Struthio camelus: one gene and its partners. The protein of the gene in region 3 purifies or fractionates together with the protein of the main gene of each other region. This does not show direct contact. Links are inferred from orthologs where the notes say so. Each region holds a gene or a part of one and is shown on either strand. Other genes may lie near its edges.

What was found.
Region 1: the proteins of STX12 (region 3) and VTI1B purify together in Homo sapiens (affinity purification with mass spectrometry; 3 studies listed by BioGRID and IntAct, counting the BioPlex papers as one, with this or other methods). This does not show direct contact. The link is inferred for Struthio camelus from reciprocal best matches to the Homo sapiens genes STX12 and VTI1B.
Region 2: the proteins of STX12 (region 3) and VAMP7 purify together in Homo sapiens (affinity purification with mass spectrometry; 3 studies listed by BioGRID and IntAct, counting the BioPlex papers as one, with this or other methods). This does not show direct contact. The link is inferred for Struthio camelus from reciprocal best matches to the Homo sapiens genes STX12 and VAMP7.

Annotation. Positions count from the first base shown.
Region 1 is NC_090946.1:46,592,376-46,600,066, forward strand, and holds the start of VTI1B (vesicle transport through interaction with t-SNAREs homolog 1B), read right to left. Parts: upstream 3,009-7,691; 5' UTR 2,879-3,008; coding exon 2,764-2,878; intron 1-2,763. Other genes in the region: retinol dehydrogenase 12, read left to right, coding at 4,708-4,910, 6,537-6,655. UniProt on the Homo sapiens protein: V-SNARE that mediates vesicle transport pathways through interactions with t-SNAREs on the target membrane. These interactions are proposed to mediate aspects of the specificity of vesicle trafficking and to promote fusion of the lipid bilayers.
Region 2 is NC_090952.1:3,659,757-3,667,318, forward strand, and holds the start of VAMP7 (vesicle-associated membrane protein 7), read right to left. Parts: upstream 3,009-7,562; 5' UTR 2,886-3,008; intron 2,271-2,885; exon of another isoform or gene 2,185-2,270; intron 1,946-2,184; exon of another isoform or gene 1,774-1,945; intron 1,317-1,773; exon of another isoform or gene 1,248-1,316; intron 186-1,247; exon of another isoform or gene 84-185; intron 1-83. Other genes in the region: DNA-directed RNA polymerases I and III subunit RPAC2, read left to right, coding at 3,080-3,118, 4,004-4,111. UniProt on the Homo sapiens protein: Involved in the targeting and/or fusion of transport vesicles to their target membrane during transport of proteins from the early endosome to the lysosome. Required for heterotypic fusion of late endosomes with lysosomes and homotypic lysosomal fusion.
Region 3 is NC_090964.1:2,911,200-2,918,861, forward strand, and holds the start of STX12 (syntaxin-12), read right to left. Parts: upstream 3,015-7,662; 5' UTR 2,868-3,014; coding exon 2,750-2,867; intron 1-2,749. UniProt on the Homo sapiens protein: SNARE promoting fusion of transport vesicles with target membranes. Together with SNARE STX6, promotes movement of vesicles from endosomes to the cell membrane, and may therefore function in the endocytic recycling pathway.

The DNA of each region.
Region 1 (7,691 bases), on a different chromosome or scaffold from region 3:
AACAGCAGCTTTTTAAGGCACTAAGCTTTCAACAGCTGAACAGGAGAAAGTTTTGAAGTGATCAAAACATTATAATATAGCTCCTCTCATTTACATGACGCACCTAAGCTGTACTGTTTTTTGTAAGTACAAAAAACTGAATTTCTTTAGAGAAACGTATATTTTAAACTGATCCAGGCTATCTGAAATGCTTTCTTATAAACGTGGAAGAGAAAAGGTTTCCAGATCAAGGATTCCGTTATCTTATCGGTACAGAACGGAATAGCATTTCCAAATTTGCGTCCCTCAAAGATGGCTACCAAGGAACTAAAGATTGTCTTACCTGGAGTTTTGGGAAGGTGCCGGACATCTTAAAAGGAGTGTGTAAAATTTCTTTTATTGTCTCCTGAAGTTCTCAGAATCAGATATCTCAAGAAAGAGAGACATGCACACCCCATATGTATTAGAAGCAGACAAAGCACACCAGCAGTGCAGCATGCCTTCACCAGATAGAGAAATTCCTAACATATCTTAAACTCTCTTGGAAATACTTTCCAGAGTATTATTGTTTTTTCCAGTAACAGATTTAAAGAATAACATCATTATACTAAAATTTTGTAGCATGTCTGAAATAATCAATTTGTAATTATTTGTAATCTTTTGAAAAATCTGCAAGCGTTGCAAAAATTGTTTCCTGTAAATATTGTTTACATCTACCGCTCAAGACTATTATAGTCTTGACAAAGCTCTACTTTACTGAAAAACTCATCACTCTCCTTTCTACAAGAAAGTGAGGATCTCTTATAAGGAATTTCTATTATTTTAATATTATAAATATAAAATTAAATTACAATAGAGAGTGTTGTACTTCTTGCTCTATGGAACTTTTCAACCCAAAGTAATGTTAGTGACATTCTCAATTCCCTCAGAGCCCTTCAAGTAAACAGTGATGCAAGCACAGTATTTTCTCATTCTTTTCCTTAAAGTCAGGTATTAAGAGACAGATCCTGCATTTCAAGGCAGCAGGGACAGTCGCTGTCTCATAAAACCATCTTCAAAAAATTTTATGCAAACAATATCCAGATTCACAGGCCATTCTCCAAGAGAGGGTATGTTTTTTACTCTTGCTGACCAGCAGTGAAATTAAGTCAGCTTTGAAAGTTGTAATTTGCAGTTCTGAATGTCCCTCTTGTGCCAAACTCTCTGGAACCTTGATAATGAGGATTGTGACCCTGAATTTAACTCAATATTAAATACAGAGCCAGATACGAAATGGAATACTAAGCTTTTCATAGCACGTGTTATCTAGCACGCAGAGTGGTAGATTCTGAACAAACCAATTATTTCCAGGATTTGTGATTTTATACCTAAATACATGGAACTAAGGAATTCTGGGGATCACAAGACTAAACTATCACAGAGCATGGCTTATAACCTCTACTCATTCAAAAGAACACCCATACTCAGAAGAAACTGGTTGCAGCAGTTCACGACAATTACGTATCGCGTTTCTCCTTTAAAGCAAGTATTTAACCAGAGTCGGCCACACTGGTAGAATTCTCCTTGCCAGATCACTTCCCTTTCCAGTTCTCAGAACACAACCGAATATTAAGAACTGAATTGGAAAGGCACTACAGAGTCTTTACAGAGAGGTGTTCTGTCAGAGAGTGTTTTAACCACTAGTATGAGCTCCATTACTTAGCAAAGAATTCCTAAACAATTAGATTTTGTGCCTAGCAGAACTTTGTCTAGTTTGCTTTACATTAGATTGTTTTTCTAGGCTGTGAGTAGGGCACAGACCACACTTTTAAAACAGTCTTTTACAATAGAAAATTTCACTGGTAAATAAATCTATGAACTGTTTCAGACAAACGTACTGCTGAAAACAGCTTCTAGTTCAACTGATGAGATTTTGAACTGAAATCTTGAAACAAGATAGCAACACTGATGAGAGAAATGCAATTCAGGCAGTTCACTTGCAAATAGCATGAAAATATGCTAAAACTTCAAATCCAGGTAAAGTTCTAGTGCCACCAAGTAACCACCTCTCCACCGAGCTGAGACTGAAGCTGAACGCCCAGCAGCACAGCAGCGCTTGGCTGCAGAGCTGCAATTTGCCAGGCAAGAGGAACTGCTCCCCAGGGGTAAAGTGACACAAGCACCCAGCTGTTTCCATGTCTGGGGCTTTACATGACTATGCCCAATACTCCACAGCAAAGCTATGAGAAAATAGCAGTAATGGGAAAATAAGACATAGAGAAGCCGGACCTAACAGAGCCACGACAGCATGACCTCCCAGGAAGCAAACCAAGGGACAGTCGCGGGGAAGGAAAGTCAGCTCGAAGTGATGCACCAACTTCCTGCAACTGTCCTAGCAAACTCCTTCCCTCCATAAGGGCTTTTAGAGAGACTCTGTTCTCTGGTTGTAAAAATGGATTTATCTACAGAAAAGCAACCCAGGCTCCCTGCAGCTGTCCTGTTAGTTAGCAGGCCCCACCTATGCAGCGGGGTGGCCGGCCGGGAAGCACCGGCAAGGGCCCGGCAGAGGGGCCTCCGAGCAGGGAGGAAGGGAAGCAGCGACGAACGGCGCAGCGACCAGACCCCGCCACAGCCAGGGGAACGGCCCCTCGCCGGGGGAGGTGTCCGAGGGCCGGCCAAGGCCCTGCCGCCCGGTGGAGCCCAGCCGGGCCCGTCACGGCCGCGCCCGGGGGCCGTTGGCCGCGCGCGCCGCTCCAGCCCCTCCCCCCCGGCCGCGGGTAACGGCCGCCGCTCTGCCCCGCTCACCGGCCGCGCTGCCGCGCAGCCGCTCCGGCACGCCCCGCAAGTCTCCGTGCAGCCCCCGGAAGATCTCATGCAGCCGCTCCAAGTGCTCCGAGGAGCCAGAGCCCCGGCTCGCCATGGCAGGCAGCCGCGTCCCGCCGCCGCCGCCGCCGGCTCCCGCGTCCCCCGGCCCGCGCCGCTACCGCGCGGCTCGACGCATCGCCGCTTCCTGGCGGCCGCTTCCCAGCCCGGCGGCGCCGTGGACCCCCCGCTCCGCATCGCTGGGCGCCCCGAAGCGCGGCCCGACCGCAAAACCGCCCGGTGCCGCCGGCCGCACGGCCGGCAGCGCCCCCCCCGGACCGCTCCCCGCGGGGCTCGACCGCCAGCCGCCTGGCGAGAGGGCTGGCGCGGCGTCGGCAGCGGCCAACGGCCGCCAACGGCCGCGGGGGGCGTCAGGCGCTGCCGGGGCAGCCCCGAGGCGGGGCGCGGGGCCTCGCGCCGCGCAGTGCCCGCTGGGGCGCGTAGGCTGCGCGGGGGCGGCGGGGCGGGCGCGGCTGAAGCTGCAGCCGATGTTTCCCGGCCCGAAAGAGGCTTTACGTGAAACGTCTTCGTTCCGACTGCGATGGCAGGTCGCGTCTGCGGTTAGCGTCTTTGTGTCGTACAGGTGGTATACCTTGACAGGAAGGCACGCCCTGAAACAGGCTTTTTCCCCGGAGGGGTGTGTGTGTGCAGGGCCCTGGGTTCCAGCTGCTTCTCGAGAACCAGGAAGGCGGGCTGCGGCCAGGCCGCCGCGCTGTCTGCAGCTGGGGCCAGGACGCGCGTCTGCAGGGAAGCTCAGGTACCAGGAGGCAAAGCAATTTGGTGCCCCGGACTTTTGCTTTAACTCTCTGGTAGAGGTGAGAGTGAACATCTGCGGACTGAACACGGACTTGGAGGCAGGAGCGTGTCCCCCAGCCCTTTATATGTGTGGGCATATAGGTATACGTACCCATTTTGTACGTTTTGCTGGGGTTAATATCATAAATTTAGGAATGACGCTAAGAAAGGGCTTAAAGATAAATGACCTTACTTTGACGTTTTGCATAACTGTCCTCCAGACCACTCCTGAGCTTTCTCTTCAGGTATTTCCCAGCCGAATAATAGGAAAGTTTTATTAAGACAGCAGAACTATTGTTTAAAATAGTTCAGAAAGACAAAGGTTAGAGATGTGTACTCCATCGGGAGAAAACATTAGACCGAAGGTGCAGAGCCAGCTGGCTTTATACTGCAAGCTGATATTTCAAGTAGGGTAGTACATTTACAGCAAAGAGCTAAACGTGAATCTCTTAGCGTAGCAACCAGGCTCAGTGGAAGAGGACTCTAGAGCAGCTAGCACAGCTGAAATTCCTTTCACCTTAGTGGAATTAAGTGACATTAGTGGGTGAAGTAGGGGCATTGCACACACGTGTGAGGTGCCTGCTGTCTTGCAAACGTTGCTCTCAGGGCAGCACAGCGCCGAGCCCCACAGCCAGTGTCCGACAGCCAGGGTGCCCAGACCTGCGCGGTGGTCTCTGAGCCGGAGGGGATGCTCAGGGCGGCACCGGGGAGGCTGGCCCGGGCACCGGCCTGCTCCTCCGCAGCCAGGCTACTGCTGCAGCGCCGGGGCAAGCAAGCAAAAACGTGTCGTTCGCCCACAGCGCAGGCAGGGATTTAAACGAAATCACAGCGTGGGTAACTTTAAGGAAAACCTAGGGGGGACATAGAGCTCTTCAGCCGTGATCGAGGACACGCGGAACCGCACCGGACCTCCGCGGCCAGGAGGCAGCGGTGCGCGCCTCCGCCACCGGGGTCCGCTGCGGGCTCCGCTCCTGGGGGGGGGGCGGCTCCGGACTACAGCTCCCGGCATGCCGTGCGGGGGGGGGCGGTGGCGGCTGCGGACTACAGCTCCCGGCATGCTGTGCGGGGGCCCTCCGGACTACAGCTCCCGGCATGCCGCGCGCGGAAGCGGCTGCGGACTACAGCTCCCGGCATACCTCGCGTCTCGGGGGCGGGGCCTCCCGTTGGCCCGGGCTGCCAGGCAGAGCGGCGGCGAGCATGGAGCCGGCGGCGGCGATGCTCAGCTGCTGGGGAGCCGTGCTGGGGACGGCTGTCTCACTCCCGCTTCTCCTCCTTGTGGCAGCCCCCTACCTCAGGTCTGTCGGGGCTGCTGTACGCGTGTTTTGGGTGCGCGGGGAGCCCTCCTGGGCGCGGATGGGAGAGGGGGCAGGTCGCGTCGTCCGTGCCGGCGCCGGGAGCGGGTGCAGCACCCGGGCGCAGGCCGGGGTGTGTCGTTATTTCAGGGGTCCGGGGGCCTAGTGTTTGCATGCGCGTGAGTCTGTGACTCTTAAAAAAAAATAAATAAATAAAAAAGCTCGTACAGGAATTTAAGCAAGGCGATCGCAGCCAGCCCCGTCTGGCGCCGGCTGTGTTAAATCTGTGCAAGCTCTCAGCGGGCTTGGTTTCTGCGTTCGTAAAATAAATGAATAAATAAATAAATACAAATCATTCAATGCCTGTGCAGAAAATAAAAGATATATAGAAATATCCGTTCTTCAGTAGCACCTTTAATGTCTAGGAAGAAGGATTAGGTAAAAAAAAATCCTGGTTGCTTGGGTCTTTGTCCCCATCAGGTTTTAGGTTTTTTTTTAAAAGGAAGGTAAATAAAATAGTTTTTTTTTTTAACCTCGTGGGGCTAAAATGTTACTTCAACTTCTCTAGCTCTCGTGTCTAATTAACAATGTATTTGAAACAATCTCGCGCATGCCCTAGGATTTGGGATGCTCTTAGGTCTCCGCTCAGTTTTTGCCCTAGTTTCTGTGCTCTTCTGTATCAGCTACTGGGAGACAATAGAAAGCAACAGCTGCCCCAGCTGCGAGCAGTAGGCTGGCTCGCACCTCCGTCTGCTCCTCGAGAGGTGGCTTGAAATGTTTCTGCCTGCCTTTCCTCAGGCTCCCACAGCTGGAAATTTATTCCGGGAAAGGCGTCCCGCCTAGGAGGCAGAAATACAGCTGCGCCGCTGTATCCGGCGGTCCGAGCGGGGCTCCGGCGGCGGCGGCTCGGCGGGGCGGGCAGCCGCCGCCGCGCCCATGGGCTCAGCCGCCGCATGGCCGCCTGCCGATGGCGGCAGCCAATGGGGAGCCGTGGCTCCACTTTGTGCAACGGCGCGGCCGGGCGAAGCCGGCGCGAGGGCGGCGGTTGGAGGGCGGCGGGGGCCCGACCGAGAGCGACGCGACTGGCCTCTCCCGCCGGGCTAGCGGCGTGGCTGCGAGTTTCTTGGTGGCAGTGCGGCAGCACGGCGTGGAAACCCGAGCCTCACCCGCGAGGGCCTGGGAGAGGCGCCTCTGTGCCAGGCGGTGATGGTGCCCGCCCTTCTGTCCTCGCCGAGCCTTCCTCTCCGCACGACTGGCCGTCAGCTGCGCCGAGGGTGAGCTGGGCTTGTCGGCTCTGTGTTCGAGCACTGGCGCTACGCTCAAAGCAGAGGGGTTTGAAGATGACTAGGAACCTGGCGTGGTGGCTTGATCGGGACACCTAATCAGAGGAGGCAGCTGCTGGAAGCTTGAGGAGGGAAGGAGGGGTGTAGTGAACTGGCAGGTGGAACCACTTTAGGTAACTCTCCACATGAATCACAGGTTATTCTGAGAGCAGTAACTGGCCCAGCTGCTGGGGCACAGCCAACCAAGAGCTGTAAGTGATTAGCCCTGGCCTGTACCTCATAACCAGAAAAACTGTCCTTGGACCTTTTCTTGTTATCCTCTTGTTCCTGTTATCTTCTTTTCCAGGAGGTATGTTGCTGGAGGACAGTGTAAGTCAACAGCTAAGCTAGATGGGAAGGTGGTGATAATCACAGGAGCCAACACAGGCATTGGGAAGGAGACAGCCAGAGATCTTGCACGAAGAGGCAAGTCACTGTCCTACATCAGCAAGCATCCCTTTGAAACTGATATGTGTGCGCATGTGTATCAGTAGTCCCTTTTCTGGATCTAAGGGAGGATTATCTTGCACTCCCATCTATAGAGTTGGGAGTCTAACAGATAGCACCTAGTTATCCTTTTTCTTGGTGAAAACCCCAGCTGCAAGATATAATGGTGGTGGGAACGTGTCCTGATGGCACATTACTCTGGTGCAGAGGCCCGAACAGCCTTTGGAGTTGGTCATGCTCTACAGCATACTTGCATATTACAGAGGAGCCCAAATGTTGTTTCTCCAGAGGCTGTAACCACTGAGTCACAAGTCCCCCGTTCCTCAACTGCTTTCATTGTATCAAGGTGTATCTTGTGACATGAGAAAGCACTGCACTACAACCCTTTTGAGAGGACTGGGGAAGTTCCTGGTATCACTGGGCCACCACATTTGTTAGAAGCTGGGAAATGGCTTAGGTTCACTGGTGTTTGTTTTAGTTATTCATGTTTCAAGCTAATTTGGTTTAAATGCTTTTTGGCTAACTGGTGTGGAGATTAACGTAGCAGTTCATAATCAGTTTAGAAACTATTCTGGCTGGGGTCTGTTAGGCAAGAGGGCCAAACTCAGTTGCCCAGTGGGGCGAGGTTGTTGCAGCTCCATGTCCACAGGTCCAGCCAGTCGCCAGGCTGAGAATGTATCCCCAGTAGGCACCTGCACAAACACGCATATACTACATATAGACACAAGGCTGGCCACACAGATCAGCTCAGACAAACACACTCGGCACTCACACATATGGCACCAACAGCCTCATCCTGTTTCTGTCTCTGGCTGATCAGGAGGAAGGTCTGTTAGTGGGATATATATACATACATACAGTGTGGATCCCTCCAGCACCAGGGCTTAGACACTCAGTTCAGCCCTGGCCCCTGGATCCCCGGTCTCCCCAGTTTGCTGGCACCTGGACATATGAGCCCCTGAAGTCTGCAGCCCCGCTCCACTTGCTGGTACAGACCCCCTCACTCGCGCATGTG
Region 2 (7,562 bases), on a different chromosome or scaffold from region 3:
ACAAGCTTAAACTGGTCACCTATCCCTCCCTTTAGCTTTGATCATTTTCAGGAATTTCAACAAAAATGAACTACACAACTCACTCTGTTCTGTTTTCTACTCACTCAACTCCTCTTCAGCAGGGTGCTAAGTCTCTTCAGGAGCCATCACCAATGCTTTTCCTACTTCCTACCAGGAAGGAACTGCTGGGCAGAAAGCACAGTTCTAAGAGTTTGCAACAAGGATTACAACAGCGCACTGATCTGCAACAATACTAACTGAAACAAGAGAAATGAATATAATCATGTCTGATCAGAGCCCCTGAGAGAGTCTGCAGTGTTTTGGCCAGCTCAGCAACATAACCAGAACAGTGTCAGCATGTGGTATAACACTAGGTCACAGCTGAGACTAAACAAACATGATTAAGCCTCTTGAGCAATCAGGTGACTGACAAATATCAGGAAACAAGTCTTTTCGCATAGAAAAAGAGAATAGGACCAATACAAAGGACCAGTTTAAAAAAAACACACAAAACAAAACACATGCACACATCTGTGAAGGATCAGTAGTTTGCCATACAGCAACTAACCTCAGAACTACAAAGCCCACCCAAGCACAGAGATACCTTGATTCCCAAAATGAAGAACTCTAGGTTCAAATTGAGGATTCTAAAGTCCTTGCCACAACTTTAAGAGTCTCCACCCTTTTAATATAGGCTATTTGTAGAGCTCTTCGTGAGACAGGAGTTCAGTAGGGCTGTTACCAACAGGATACAAGTAAGATGATGCTAGCTAGCTAGCTGAGACTTCAGAAGCTATCCATACAGCTTCACCAGAAGTCAGTAATTTGGCTCTGCAATCCTGTGTAAGCAGGGAAACCAACTGACTGAAATCAAATTTCAGCCTTACTTAGTAGTCAACAGCCACATTCTCCCAGCTACTCTCCTCTCAGCTTTGCTGGAAGCTGATTAAAAGGAGTAAAACAAACTTAACAATGAGCACATTTCTCTAAGCAGTGTCTCATCCAGCTCTTAGGAGAAGATACTTGTGCTTTCTTTTAAAGAAAAAAAAACAAACTGCTAAACTTCTGGAAAACATCTTTCCTCATAAGCTACAAGAGAGTCTGGAATTATATCCACTGAAGTCAACTACTTCATATAATCTCTTCATATAACCTAGAAATCAGAGTTAGTGTCTGTCTAAACTTAAGATAGTTAATAGCTGAAAACAACCATGAGCAAGCCTTCCTAAAGGACAGTTTGAACTCACAGAAATACCAGGCAGGCCTTACATCAAAAGGCTCCAGGGCAGGAGGGAAAGGCTGTATTCCTCAGCCACCTAGAAAACACCAGACCCAAAAAGCTCCTTAAGATGTGCCCAAAGCATCAGGTACAGCTTAAGTACTAAAGGGGAGTTGAGTTTTGCATTCATACATTAAGGACTAAATGCAAGATGTATCACACTGCTATGTGCAAGTTCTCCTGTGATATTTGACAGAAGGGCCCAGAAAAGTGTGCAGCATCTTAGAGAATGAAAAATATACAGGCTCAGTCTGCAATGCAATGTTTAAAGTTTCAGCCATGAAGTCTCCAAATATAACAAACGGCCTATTATTTTCAAGTGAGATTAAAAAAAAACACACACAGAACTTGTTTGGTGCTCACACTTCACTAACGACCGAGAATAAACTGTCTGATGGTAGCTAAGATAGCTGGGGCAAGAGCTCAACCCAGAGAAACTGCACCCATTCTCTATCACTCAGCAGTACTGCCCTTACCAGCCAGAGGGGACTCACCAGTGCTGCTTGATCAAAGCATTCAAAAGCTTCAGGGCTAAGTGAGCGAGGAAGTTACTGCTTATATTTCCAGAAATGCACTGTACAGAAAGCAAGGGGCATCACAGTACTACTGGCTTTAAACCTGAAATAAGTTAAGGTGTTGCAACTCTGTAAGTTGCAAGCTGCCTGGCTGCAATGAAAAGACCGTTTGAGTAGAGTGACTTCAGCAGAAAGCAGTCTAGACTTCCCTTTAACCCTTCCTTCACTTCCCTAAGCAATCATTTCTTTTTTTAATTTTTAAAAATAGTTTAGGGGTATTCCAACTTTTAAGTCCCAGAGCTTATTTGTTCATTTTAAGCCTGAGAAGCACACACTTCATGCACTAACTTAACCGAACAGTTTAGCTTCCTCTCTGCCCACACAGCTTACTCCAGGTGCCTCTTCTGGTTCATCACTAGGAATACAAGTCATTAGGCAAGATTAATCCAGTCTCTCTTCCAGGCCCACCACCTTTTCTGGAAGGCAACATCACACGTTTTACAAGAGGGAGTAAAGAAACAACATCACAGCTCTCGACTAAACAGCACACTAAGGAGGTAACACAGAACAGCTGAAACACATCCTAGAGCATGATTACTCACAGCCTCTCCCCCAACCCTCCTATCACAAGCACCGCTGCAGATTATTCATCAGCACCTAACCTTTAAGACCCTCATCACCTGAGTTACACCAGCAACGCCACAGCCCAGACGTTAACTAAAGCAGGCAGCTGTGAAGGCAGCCCTCCCCCCCACCCCCCCGGGGCGGACCGGGCCGCTCCAGGCCGAGCTGGGCAGGCGGCCCTGCCCCTGGCACCCGACCCCGCTCAGGAGCCCCCAGGTTTCAGGGCCGAGACGAGGAGGTGCGTTAAGGCCCGGGGGGGGGGGGGAAGGGGGAACGGGACCTGCCGAGGAAGCAGCGCGGCCCTGTGGCAGCCCCAGACACCCCCCGCCGCCTGCCCGGGCGGGCCCGGCCCAGGCCGCCTCCCCGGAGGGCTCCGCTCTGGCCCCGGCCCGCGCTCCCCCCCCCCCCGGCTGCTCTCCCGGAGGGGGGGCGGGGCGGGAAGAGGCACCGGGCGCGGCCCCGCTCACCGGCCGGCGCGGACGAGGCGCCGCGCTCGCAGGCGCCTCCGCCCGCCGCGCTCTTATCCGCCCTGCGGCTGCCCCGCCGCGCGTCGCCCGCGCGCACTTCCGGCGCGGCGGCGCCGCGCGGCCCCCTGGGGCTTGTAGTTCCCGCCGCGGCCGCGCTGCCTCCTGGGAGCTGTAGTTCGCGGGCCGGCGCGGCCATGGCGGAGGAGGGCGAGAAGAAGGCCGTGCTGGAGGTGGTGAGTGCCGCGGCGGGCGGCGGCGGCGGCGGCTCGGGGCTGGCCGGGGCCGGGGCCGGGGCAGGTCGGAGGGGTCGCTCCCGCCGCGCAGGGAGGCAGGGGCGCTCGGCCAGGGGCGCTCGGCCAGGGGCGCTCGGCCAGGGGCGCTCGGCCAGGGGCGGGCGGGCCCCGCCGTGTGGCGGCCTGCGTCGTTTGACTTGCGCGCCTTGCGGTGCTGCTGTTTGAGGCTCCCTTTACTGCCCTGTAGCGAGCAGCGGCGGTGTCGCGTTAACGAGCTGGCCGAGAAGAGGCCAGGACTGGCGTTTTACAAAAGCAGCCTTGTTTGTCGGAGGTGGCTCGCTACGCGTTTGCGACCGCCAGGCCTCGGCTGGCTGTGCAGGCGCTGGCAGCGGGCCCCATCTGCTCGCTTGCACCCGTCCCGGGGTCGCTGGCCGGAGTTTGCTCCCTCCCTCCCTCCCTCCCTCCTTCCTTCCTTCCTTCCTTCCTCTCTGGTACCCGTTGCAGGCAGTGAAAGGCGCTAGATGGCACCACACTTCGCGCTAGCGGGGTTTGAGGCACCAAGCTGGCAGATGACAGCACGCGTGGCTACGGGGAGAGCTGCCACAGGATGGTCTGCTCTTCTGCGCGCCAGCCTCTCAGTCAAAAACAGGGGGAGCTGAGGACCGGGGCAGCTGTACAGCAGAAACAAATGGGCTCTTTTAAGTTTGTCTGGTTTTACAAGCTCCCTTCGGGGAGGACCTAGCACAACAGGTTTTCATAGTCTCTCAATCTGGGGGCTCCAAAACTATTCCTGATGCCGTGGCCTACCCTACAGAAGGAACTCCAGTCTCTAGGCAATAGTTGGGGTTTGTTTGTTTGTTTGTTTGTTTTACTTTCCGTTTTCAGGTTTTGCATGACCAAACTCTTGCCCCTGGTGTGTGCAAGCCGCGGGTTGAAAGCTGCTGTTGCAAGGAAGCCCGATCCTGCAAGTCTCACGTGATGAATGAAATGGAGGTTTGAAGCGCTGCAGTTATGAGAGAGGCCCTTGGCAGCAAACCAGGCTCTCAGAGGGAGGAATGCAGTACCGTAAAAAACCAGGAGAAGGCGTAGAGACTGTTATTGGTTCATACAGACTGAACCAGCAGAAGACTGTATATTCTAGCATAAAAGACAAATTATGCGTAAACAGCAGTTAGGATAGGAACAAGTGACTTGTAGGAACAAGTGACTTGCAGGAAGGGAACAGTCCTACTTCATATCCGATCCTGATCCCATATAGCTCAGTGCTGTGCTAATATATACACCACTGCAGTACCTAGGCACCAAATTCAATGCTAAATAATTCATCGTCATAAATCACAGCCTCCCTAAGCAGGAGAACTTTCTGAGGATGAGAGACTGTGGCTGAGGAGGTTGTCTGAGGCGTGGGTGGCCAGGCCTCCAGGGCTGTATCCTGACCTTGCTGGGAGGGTATACCTTGGATAACCTTGGGCTTTTCCATCTCTGCGGTCCGTGAAACATTTTAATTTGATCAGTCCTGCGTTTCAGATCCCAAAAGCTGCTTTGTGATCTCGTCAGTTCTTCCTTCTTCCTGTACCATAATACAAGAACAACTTGGTAATATTATTGGCAAGTCAGCATGTAACCAAAGACAAAAGACTCCAGAAGAGCAAAATTCTCTATCCCACAGGAGTCAGGGCTTTCTTCCAGGTTGGTTCGTAGGAGAAGGAGTTTTCATGTGATGGGTAGTTTGGTACATAAACACCTCCTGGGTGAGATGTGTAAGAACTCCCTGAAAAATCTCAGCTTTCTGCCTCCAGCTGCAGGCTTGATTGGTGCCGGGACCAGAAAGGACTCCATCCTTCAGGAGGCGTGTTCTCAGAGGGAAGGTGGCTGTTTTCCTCTGAAGCATCAGATAGCATCTATGCTATCATCATAACATGACTAGGTGGGCCAATAGCTTGATAAGAAAGGAAGCTTACATTCTGGCTGAGATCCAGAATTGTGTCAGAGGACTCTTCACAGGAAAGAGGAGAGAGAAATCAAATCTCTTGTGAAGCGAACTTGTTCAACACAGAGTATTTCTTTCAGCTGCCTGAAACAGCCGTGCTCTGGCTTTTGTCTACCCGATCAATGCAGTGGGTGCGCAGATTGCAGTAAGCAGGCAGAGAAAGCTAAACTCATGGTAGCGTCTTGCATGGTGGATCGACTTCTGCATCTCTGCCACATGTTGCTTCTCTTAAGCACTTGCTGCAGACTCATAAGTTAATGCAGCAATTGTACCAGAGATATGTCCTGTCCTGTTTCTCACCTTCCCGTGCAGATGTTTTTCTTCAACTCTGCGAATGAGTCTGAAGTCAGTGCAACTTCTAGTGCTGTATGTTAAAGTCCCAGTCATCCTGTTTTTCATCCTATCTTTTTTATACAACACTGTAACTCAACTGTAAACGTTTGATCTCAGCCTGGAAAAGCATCTCTTGGCTCTTGCCTGTACATCTGTTTGTTGTGTTTGTTCCCCTTTTTGTCCAGGGGAAGAGTCTAATAGGTGAAGCCTTGATGCAGGATTCAGGAAATCTAACTGCAGCATCAGACTTTGTCACTGAGACTGACTCTGAGCAAACTGTTGAATCACCCAGTGCCTCAGTTTCCCATCTGTAGGATGGCGCTACTGTCCTTTTCTCCTCCGTGCTCTGACTACAGTGGGCAGGTAGAAGTGCTGTGTGGATTGCTCGCTCCACAGGACTTTTTAGCCCAAAGGCAGGATAATGCAAGTACAGCTGCCTTGTTTGGGTCCATATGCAGTACAGCTGTATTTATGCAGTGCTGAGTTCATTACTGCAGATCGTGCCTGTTGTCATTAGAAGTGGAGGTGCTGGAGAGGACTGTATGAAGACACCGGAGCAGTTCCGGGCAGGGCCAGGGTTGTGTCTGAGCTAAGGAGTATGCGACAGTTGCGTGCTCGGGCTTCTCACCCATCCTATGCCCAAACTGCAAGCGTGTCACTGTCCCAGTGAACAGAAATGTACCTGTCTTGGGGGGGTGAGGGACACTTGTGATTTTGGCACGTGCCCAGGCACACTTCTAATCCTGGGATGGGGTGCAGGAAGCAAACTGTGGACCATGTGACCTGTCCTGGCAGGCAGGTGACTCCTGAGTTAGTCTGTTCTTGTATGAGCCTTTAGCCTTTGGAAGAAAACAAGCTTTTAAGTACGATTGGTGATATTAATCTTAATAAATGTATTCTTGGAAAAGCCTTACAGGAGGGTAGACTAAGGCCAGCAGCTGGTTCTGGGAAGAAGGAGGGAGGTGTTGAGTCTAGCAACTGGAAGAGCTTGCAAGGTGTCTCATCCATGCCACTGACTGCCCAAATGGCCTTTGGCAAGTCACTTATACGCTGTCTTTCCGCACCAAGGGAAAGTGTTTTTGCTACTACCTTATTTTCCCTGTCAGTAAGACTTAGTGCTTTGATCGTGGGAATGGATTGCAAGATGCTGGGAGATGACAGAGACCATATCAGTCCAGCGTCTTCGTTGTCATCGTAACATTGCTGCATCACATCTACCCTTCTGTGAGATCTGGTGCTTCGGGAGCCTGCCCTTGAGTTGTGCTGCAGGCCTGGGTGAACTCTCCTCCTCGGAAATCAGTCTGCATCCCCCCTTCTGAAATGCTGAGTCAATTCCTTGTGGGGGTTGTACCTGCAGAAGGAGGAATGGGACTGCTGTGCAGTGTTGCTACACAGCAGGAAATGTGAGGGGTTATAAAACTCCTGGAGCGGTTGAGGATTTGGCTGCGGGCAGGATGTAAAGAGTTCAGCACTCGTCTGGGCCTGGCTCCACACTTAACCTTGAAACCTCTCGATGCTGCTGAGAGAGGAAATGGTTGGGGGCTGTCGGGCCATGTCAGGCTCCACGGTGGCTGTGCTGAGCCTGCGGAAAGGTCAGAGGATCTTCAGCCCTCTGACAGCAGAACAATTAATTAAGTGACTTATTGGTTTTGGAGGGGATCCCAAACGAGCCTGCTTAGGAAGTGCTAGCTGGCAGTGCTGTTTGCAAGCACTTGAGCCAAAAGCAGCAGGAGGATCAGAGGTTGACTTCTGGCTGCAGGCATTGCTGGGTTCATTTTGTGTGCGGTTCAGCACCCTTGAGGCTTGCTGGTAGGTGCCTGAAGTCTCAAAGGCTCCCCAGGCACATCCTAAGCGTATGAATTAGGACTTGCACATAGCAACTTGTGGCAAAGTTTCCTTTGTTTTCAAGCTGAGATGAGATTTCTCTGCTGACAAGCAGTGCCCCCCCCTCCCCCCGCCCCTTGAGTTTTTTTGATTGTCCCTCTCATTCATGTCTAGCCACCTGCTAATGATGAGACCTGGCAACACATCAACCTGAACAGTTGGTCCCACCCACTTTGCATCATGGATCCTGAAGGCAGGCCGGCTACAGACTTTATTTGGGCTCTTCTCCTCTGCCTT
Region 3 (7,662 bases):
CTACCTCTTTTTATCTTTCCTCACACCCCCCAATATTATTTTTGGTCAGCTGATCTGTTTTATTCTACAGCTGCACAATTGTTAGTATTGCTAAAGAGATACTGGGGGCACCACTTCTGACAGCAGTAGAATGTCTGACTGTTTAAACTGATTATGAAATCATATCCTAGGCTTCCAAGTGGTGAGACAGGCAAGGCCAAAAAGGATAAACTCGATTCAGCTGCCTGTAGAACCACATTAAGTTGAAATACCCAATACCGGACGTTACCAAGAGCTACTTCCAATTCAATTACATCCTGCTGGTGTAATTTCTGCTTTCAGCCTGGAGCAGGCCATTTCAGTTGATGAAACATGTTACAAAGGAAACATCAGACTTCTAGACTGGCCACTTCTTTTAAAGTCATGCCCAATAACTTACAACAGTGAAAGCTCAGCTAAAGCTGCAATACGATTTAATTAATAAACAGGCAAGGATTCTGACTTCTGCATGCAGAGAACATACTGGTTTTCTAGAATCCTATCAGCTCACACAGTGAGTTGTGTAACAGCTTCCTATACACCGAGCTGAATGTGTGTATTCTAGTGAGCAAGACTACACTTATATCACAAATTATCATCTACTGGAAGACCAGAAAAGTCCACAGTCAAGTTAAATTAGCACACTGACTGTACTCTGCAGTGTCTAGACATTCCGTGCCTTGCTTTTTGCAGGTGTGTGTAGCGGGGTGATGGTGGAGGGATTGTTTTGTTTTGTTTTGAGCATCTTCTGGAGTGGAAATGGAATTAGTGCAAGAATCTCTATTCTAGTCCTGGTACAAGACAGGTTTAGTAGTTTGCTGCGCTTACTTATTTCAGCCAACGACAATGCACAGAATCTACACAAAAGGACAGCAAGAGACCAGGAGGCTAAAGAAAGAGACTGGGAATTTTTTCCTTTATGATTCTCTGGATAGGGGCCATTCACATCAGCTGGAGAGTCAGAAAAATAGCCCTGTCAGTCAGTAGCTTTCAGTTTCCCAACCCTTTCATTTTGCACTGTAAATACTTCTACAGAGACTGCTGTACACTTACAGATTACTTATAACATTTAAATCTCTGACCTAGATGCTGAGCTACCATAATAGTCTTGCAAGCAATAGTTTTGGTAGCTCAGGCCACTAGCTGTTTTTCTGGTTTTTTTTTGTTTTTGTTTTTAAATACAGTTCGCACAACATGGTAACTCTATGGAGTTTCCCAAGAGGAGAGAACGAAAGTCTGCCATATCCACTGTTTGCTTGTTTCCCCCCCCCCCCCCCCAACGAATGAAATGACAGCTGAGGAAAAGTTTAAGGCATCAGTTTCTCTTTTCCTCCTGGGCTTCAGTGGAGTGGTTTTATAAAACATGGAATAAAATTGATTACTCTAACATTAAGTTAGACGTTCTGTGTGCTTCTGCTCATCTTGATAAAGCCTGTTAATCCTTGAGAGAGGCAGCACACTGAGATAGGATGGCTACTGGTCATGATACAGTGGAGGCTTGTCCTATGAGAAAGAGGAACTGAGCTAATGTGAGAGGAAGGCTCTCAAAGGGAGATCTGAGAGAAAGAAAAAAGAAAATAAACAAAATATCATTTGGAGAATTTAAGAGCGATTTAACTGGTGGCCACAGCTATACCAAAGGAAGTGAAAACAACTTTGAGCTAATGCAGGGCAGTTTCAGGAATACTAATAGCCTAGTATAATCACGTTAGAGAAGTTACCAAGTTTCAGGGGAACCAATATGTTTAACTGGCCTTGCCCCTAAAAAACTTGCATCTAGATTAGGTTATAGAACGCCTTTTCTAAGACTGGCATTAGATCAAAGACTCCTTTGGAAACAACTCATTCAGTAAGTACTATTTCAGTGATCAGTCCTAGGATTTCAATGATTAGCTTATGATCATTCATAACTTTTTTTTTAATGACTGTCAGATGACCAAAAGAACTGCAGTGTCATTTACTTAACAACATTCTGTCTAACAACTGTTGCTTCTCTGCAGAACTCTGCCAACGAGTTTAAGAAGAATTGTTAAATTATCAGCCTTCAGAAATTCCTGCAACAAGAAACCTCTTACAGATTCTCTGAACAACGAAGCGGTTGTCTTTGGCTCCCTGTTTTCACTTAGCAAAACCACATGCAAAGGCAGATAAAAGTGAATCAGAAGCCTCGTTCTGGCAAGCAACATGGGATGCAAGTTCCGCTGGAGAGTAACACAACTCGATAGGAATTTCACAGACACTGCACCAAATGCGATGCTGGCATGCATTTGCACGTGCGGTGGTAACAAACAATATAAGCAAGCTACTAATTAAAATTCACGGATGAGGTCGTTCTGCTGCTAGCTGTTGTGTGCGCCTGCATCCTAGGCGCAGGCTGCTCCCTGGGGGATAACGCTTCCCGCCTAACTCGGGGATCAGGCAGTCTGCTTCGCTGCCATACTCGGGAAGGGCGTTCGCTTTCAGAAGCGCAAGATTTGGGACAGACAGCGCTTTCCTCTGTCCCACCGGGGCACGGCCCTGCCAGAGCGCCCTCCCAGCACCGGCCTAGCCAGGGGCGGGCCCCGCCGGCGCAGGGGCTGCCTCCCGCCCGGTCACCACCACCGAGCAGCCGCCCGCCCCGGGCCCCGGGCGCCCTCTCTGCTCCCGGGGCCCTCGGAGTCCCGTCACAGGGGCGCGGCCGGGCCGGGCCGGGCCGGGCCTCCCCGCCCCACCCGGGCCCGGCCGCACTCACTGTACTGCGCGATGCGCTGCACGTTGGCGCTGCATGTCTGGATGATGCTGCCGAAGTCCCGCGGCAGCGGGCCCGGCGGCGCCGCGGGCCGGTAGAGGTCCAGCGGGCCGTACGACATGGCCAGGCTGAAGGGAGCGCGGCGGCACGGCCAATTCAGCTGCGAACACCGCTCCGGCCTCTGCGCATGCGCAACCGCCGGGCACAGCTGACAGGCCCGGCCGCATATGGGCGCCGCGCGGCTGCCGGCGCGTGCGCGCGCGCGCTCGCGGGGGGCGCGAGCTCGCCGGGTGCCATGGTAACGCGGCGCCCGCCGGCCCGGCGCGGCCCGGCGGCCTTCAGGGCCCCGTCAGCCTGCGCCGGAGACAGCGGCCGCTGGGGACCTTCGTCCCGCGGTCACGGCTGGCGCTCGCGGCCTCCGTGGACTGGGCTCCCGGCTGCCTCGGGCCTGGGCCCCGCTCCCCGGCAGGAGAGGGTGGGGGGACCGTCGCTGGGCACGGCCCTGCCAGCGCCCTGCGGCCGGGAGCTCACCCCAGCTGCCTGGGATGGGGCGCTGGCTCTTCCCGGGCGGGCCGCGACTCTGTCTGGTGCCCAGTGCCTGCGGGCAGGCAGGTTTCTGCGGGCTCAGAGAGCTGAACTGATCACCCAGGGCAGCAGTAGTGTCACGGGAATGGAGGAATGGAGTAGTGTCATGGGAGTGAGGAGGAGCCCGGCGTGGGGCCTGGTGGCACCAGAGCTGCACGGGAGGACACTGAGGAGGAGCCCGGCGTGGGGCCTGGTGGCACCGGAGCTGCGCAGGAGCGTGCTGAGGAGCACAGCAGAGGGTCTGGTGGTACTGCAGCTGCACAGGAGGACGCTGAGGAGAATGTCACAGCTGTTTTTGGCACTGTGGCCCCTGGTTACATGGGAGGACATTGAAATGAAGCTATGGATCTAAGTGCATGGGTTTTACTACCAAGCAGTATCAGAAAGCATGGGCTAGATTTGAGGGAAGGTTATGCCCTCCTCACGAGATTGCGTCCCTGTCTGGGCCCATGGTAGTATTTTGGATGAGCTGAATCAAGAACTCGTCATTTTTGTTAGATCAGCCAGTTTTAGGTCAGCCATTTTTTGTTATATCAACCAGTATCATCCAAACTAAGGCTGGTACGTACACAAGGGAAAGATGGACCATGGGCACAGGGAAGGCCAAAACTCCCTGCATTGGTCATAATCTATGTTTAGATGAATGTAATGCAAAACCACAGGTAGCTAGCTACCTTTTTAGGGTCTCATTATAGCTAGATAAGATGAATATGGCTCTACCATCTCTGAAAGGCAATGAATGCTTTACACTTTGTAAAAGGCCTGGACAGAATTTATATTTAGCCCATAAATCAGTGTGAGAATTATAATAGTTTAAAAGTAGAGCATACATAACAGTTTAGGATTAAACTTTGACTTTTATCTTTGCATTACTGTAGTACTGCCAAGGGCAATTATGAATACTCACTCTTTCCTTGTATATAATTTTAAATTGTGCCTGAAAACATGACATATTCATTTTTATGCTGACTCCTGGGGAAATTCCTTTTTCAAGACAGCCGGGCAATTTAAATTAAATCATCAGTTATATCATTTGTTTGTTTCAGATCATAAATTTTAATCAAGCTGAATTTGATCTTTTTCTGTTTTAATTTTAGATTAGAACGTATAATTAACTAATTTATAGGTGCCTTTTAATGCCACCCCTGGAGGAAATCCTATCTGAACTTTACAAAACTATTACAGCCAACAAGCTAAAACATTTGTTGTCCTAAAGACACTAAAGTGGTTTTAACAATGCATGTATATGTAATCCTGTTACCTGAAAATATAGTCTCTTCAGAATAAAATTACTGCAGTGCTAATAATGCCTTCCCATAAATTAACAAAGTTACTTTGAACCTTTCGCACACAGGCTAGTCCATACTTAAGGCTCCCATCTTAGGTAAAATCACATCAGTGACTGAAGAGTGAATCTCACTGATTTCATATTGCAAATGCAAATGGGAGAGATGGACATATGACCTTGCCGAAGCATTTCAATTTTTTGATTTGGTCAAGTTCAGTATTGCAAAATGATTTTGGTTACCGTTACCTTATTGATTTGGGGTTTCAGTGTGCATTCGTTAGTGAGGCTGTTGGTGTGTTCATTTCTGTTCTATGAGTGCTATAAATATGAAATATTGTAATATAGAAAGCAATAGTATTTTGAATGTGTATTCAGAGATTTAAAAAATCACTTCAGCAATTCCTGAATATAAAGTAGTAAGAAAACAATTAGATGTGTAAAAATAGAAAACCTGTTTTAATTTTGAAAAAATATTTATTTTCAAATTATTAAAAATTCATATTTTAACAAAATTTTTCAACTTACCTGTTTTTGTTCAGATAGTAAGGCAATGCTAGCTTTCAAATCAAGAGTATAGTCTGCATGTGTTTCTACCACATACTGCAGAAGCTATGTAATTTTAAAGTACGCACCATTTTTGAATAAACTTGTTTGCTCAGAAAATCTGAGGTCATGCCCTGTAAAACAAAGAGGTTAGGGTATGAAACATTGAAAATCATTCAAAGTAATGGTGTATTTCTTTTGAGAAATGCTTGATGAGAATATGATAACGTATTCCTAATTACAGAAGGATGTTCCTAACAGATAAAAATGATATTAAATATAGAGCAGGACTTTGGATGAAAAACTGTGTACGCAATAGGTATTTATTTAACTTTAAGCACACGAGCAGTTTGGACAGCTCATTTGCTTAAAGTGGAACATGTAGGCAAATACTTGCAGGTCCTCAGTTGTTAAAACACATGCTCACATTCAACGAGTCATGTCATATTTTCAGTGAAGACAAATAAAAGAAGGAATGAAAATAGGTAAAAGAAGGCAGGCATTGGAAAGGGCACTGAGTATAGCACAGAAATTTCCCAGGCTGATCAATACTGTGACAGAAGCTAATTTAAGATAGTATGTAATGAATTCCAGCTCCTATGAATTTTAGTGAAGCACCTCTTTTACCTCCTTTGTAAAGGAACAAACAAACAAACTGGAAATTGTTTTTCAGCTTCAGAAATATTTTAGGAGAGAAACTGTCATCCCTAAAAATGTATACTCTAAAGAAATTGTAAAATAGGAAGACAAACATTTAGAGCTGCTGGATTGCAGCAGCAAGTAATTCAGATCGAAAGAGATCTTTTTATATACACTAAATTAGCAGATCGTTGACAGGAGATGAAAATACACTTTAAAGAGAAGAAGAAGCACTTTAAAAGAATTGTCTTTATCTCTTGACAGGAGGTTACCATGAAAATCCAGATCTTTGTCTTGGTTATATCGGAGTCATAGTTCCCAAAGATATGTAATGACACTGGAATTGTTTGACTGCAGTTGAGATGTACAGTATGTTCTCTTGGATGGGCTGTCCTTCTGAAAGGGCTTCCATTTAAGTGTGGTGCGTATGTTGCTGATAAAGTCCCACACTCCCTTCCTTCCTTTGAGGAATAATGACACTTTTCATCTGGCAGGACAAGAGACCTTTTTCTTTCTCTATTCTGTTTTGTCAGTGTCAGATCTGAAGAGGTGGCAGACAAACAGCCAGTCACTTGAAGACAGACATGCTTTATTGTGTAAATATCTAGCCTAATGATTTACGCTTCACATTGTCTGGCTGAAAAGCATCAGCATCTTCTGTAGGTGTTTTTGTGCCCTGGGAGTTGTTTTTTGGGGGAAAAATTGATAAAAATGTTAATACCAAAGGAAGGGAATCTCTGGGTTGTGAGATTTCACTGCACACCATTGACCGTCCCATAGGAGAGAAAGGGAGCACAGCTCAACCTTCAACCTACCAACTATTTCCCACTCCATATACAGTGATCTTTCATCACCAGCTGGTGTAACTAAATTGCAAGAGCTAGCTACTCTTGTTGCGTACCAGGACCTTCTAGCCCAAATTCTGTCCTTCCCTGTGGCAAAAGTAAGACTTGATTATAAAAAAAATGGTGATACAACAGCAGTTTTAAGCAGGCTTAGACTGGGCAATTCTTTAGTGTTTGAAGAATTGCAAACATCTTTTTCTGCACACTACTTTAATGAAATAGGGCTATCTATAGAGAAGCAAAGTGCACAGAAGACAGAATCAATAGAAAGAAGAGGAATGGCTCACAGACTACAAAGGTAATCTCTTGGGTCTAAGAAAGTTTGTGGAAAAGACAAAAAGAGAACAATGCACCTGTCTTCCAACCCTGCTCATTGCTGCTTTTCAAGGAATTCACCTGCATTGCCATTTTACCTACAGACCCACCAGCGTGAACCCATCCTAGTTTCTAGATGTCTCTAAATAAATGTCCAGCTCTCCAAGGAAGATTAGTCCCTTTTCATTGGTACCTTCCCCCGGAGGCTGAAGAACCAATCCTCTCCCAACAAACTGCTGTGGGAAACAGTAGGATGGATGGCAGAAAGAGCATACATATGCAAGGAAAGAGATACTGGATTCAGACCTAGCAATCTATACTCTGTTACCATAACAAAAGACATCAGCTTGCATGCTGCTGCCATGAATCTAGGATCTTTCCTCTTCATTGGGTAAATCCAACTGTGGAATAAAATAACTGTAACACCTGTTCATGACTGATTCTTATCCCCTTCAAAGATCTTTCAACCAACTTGACAACACATAATTAAATTTGGAATGATCCTTGAAGAGGGAAACACAATGTGGATATATATTATGTCTATCTGTTTGGATGCCCTACAGGCCTGTTAGCGAAAGGGAATATTGCACACAGAGAAGATACAGAGAAGGGAAATTATGAAGAGGGTATAGGGGGTCATCACAATCAAGGTGATTCCTGGAAGCCCAACAAACTGCAGTCCAGCCTGCTGCTTTTGTTTC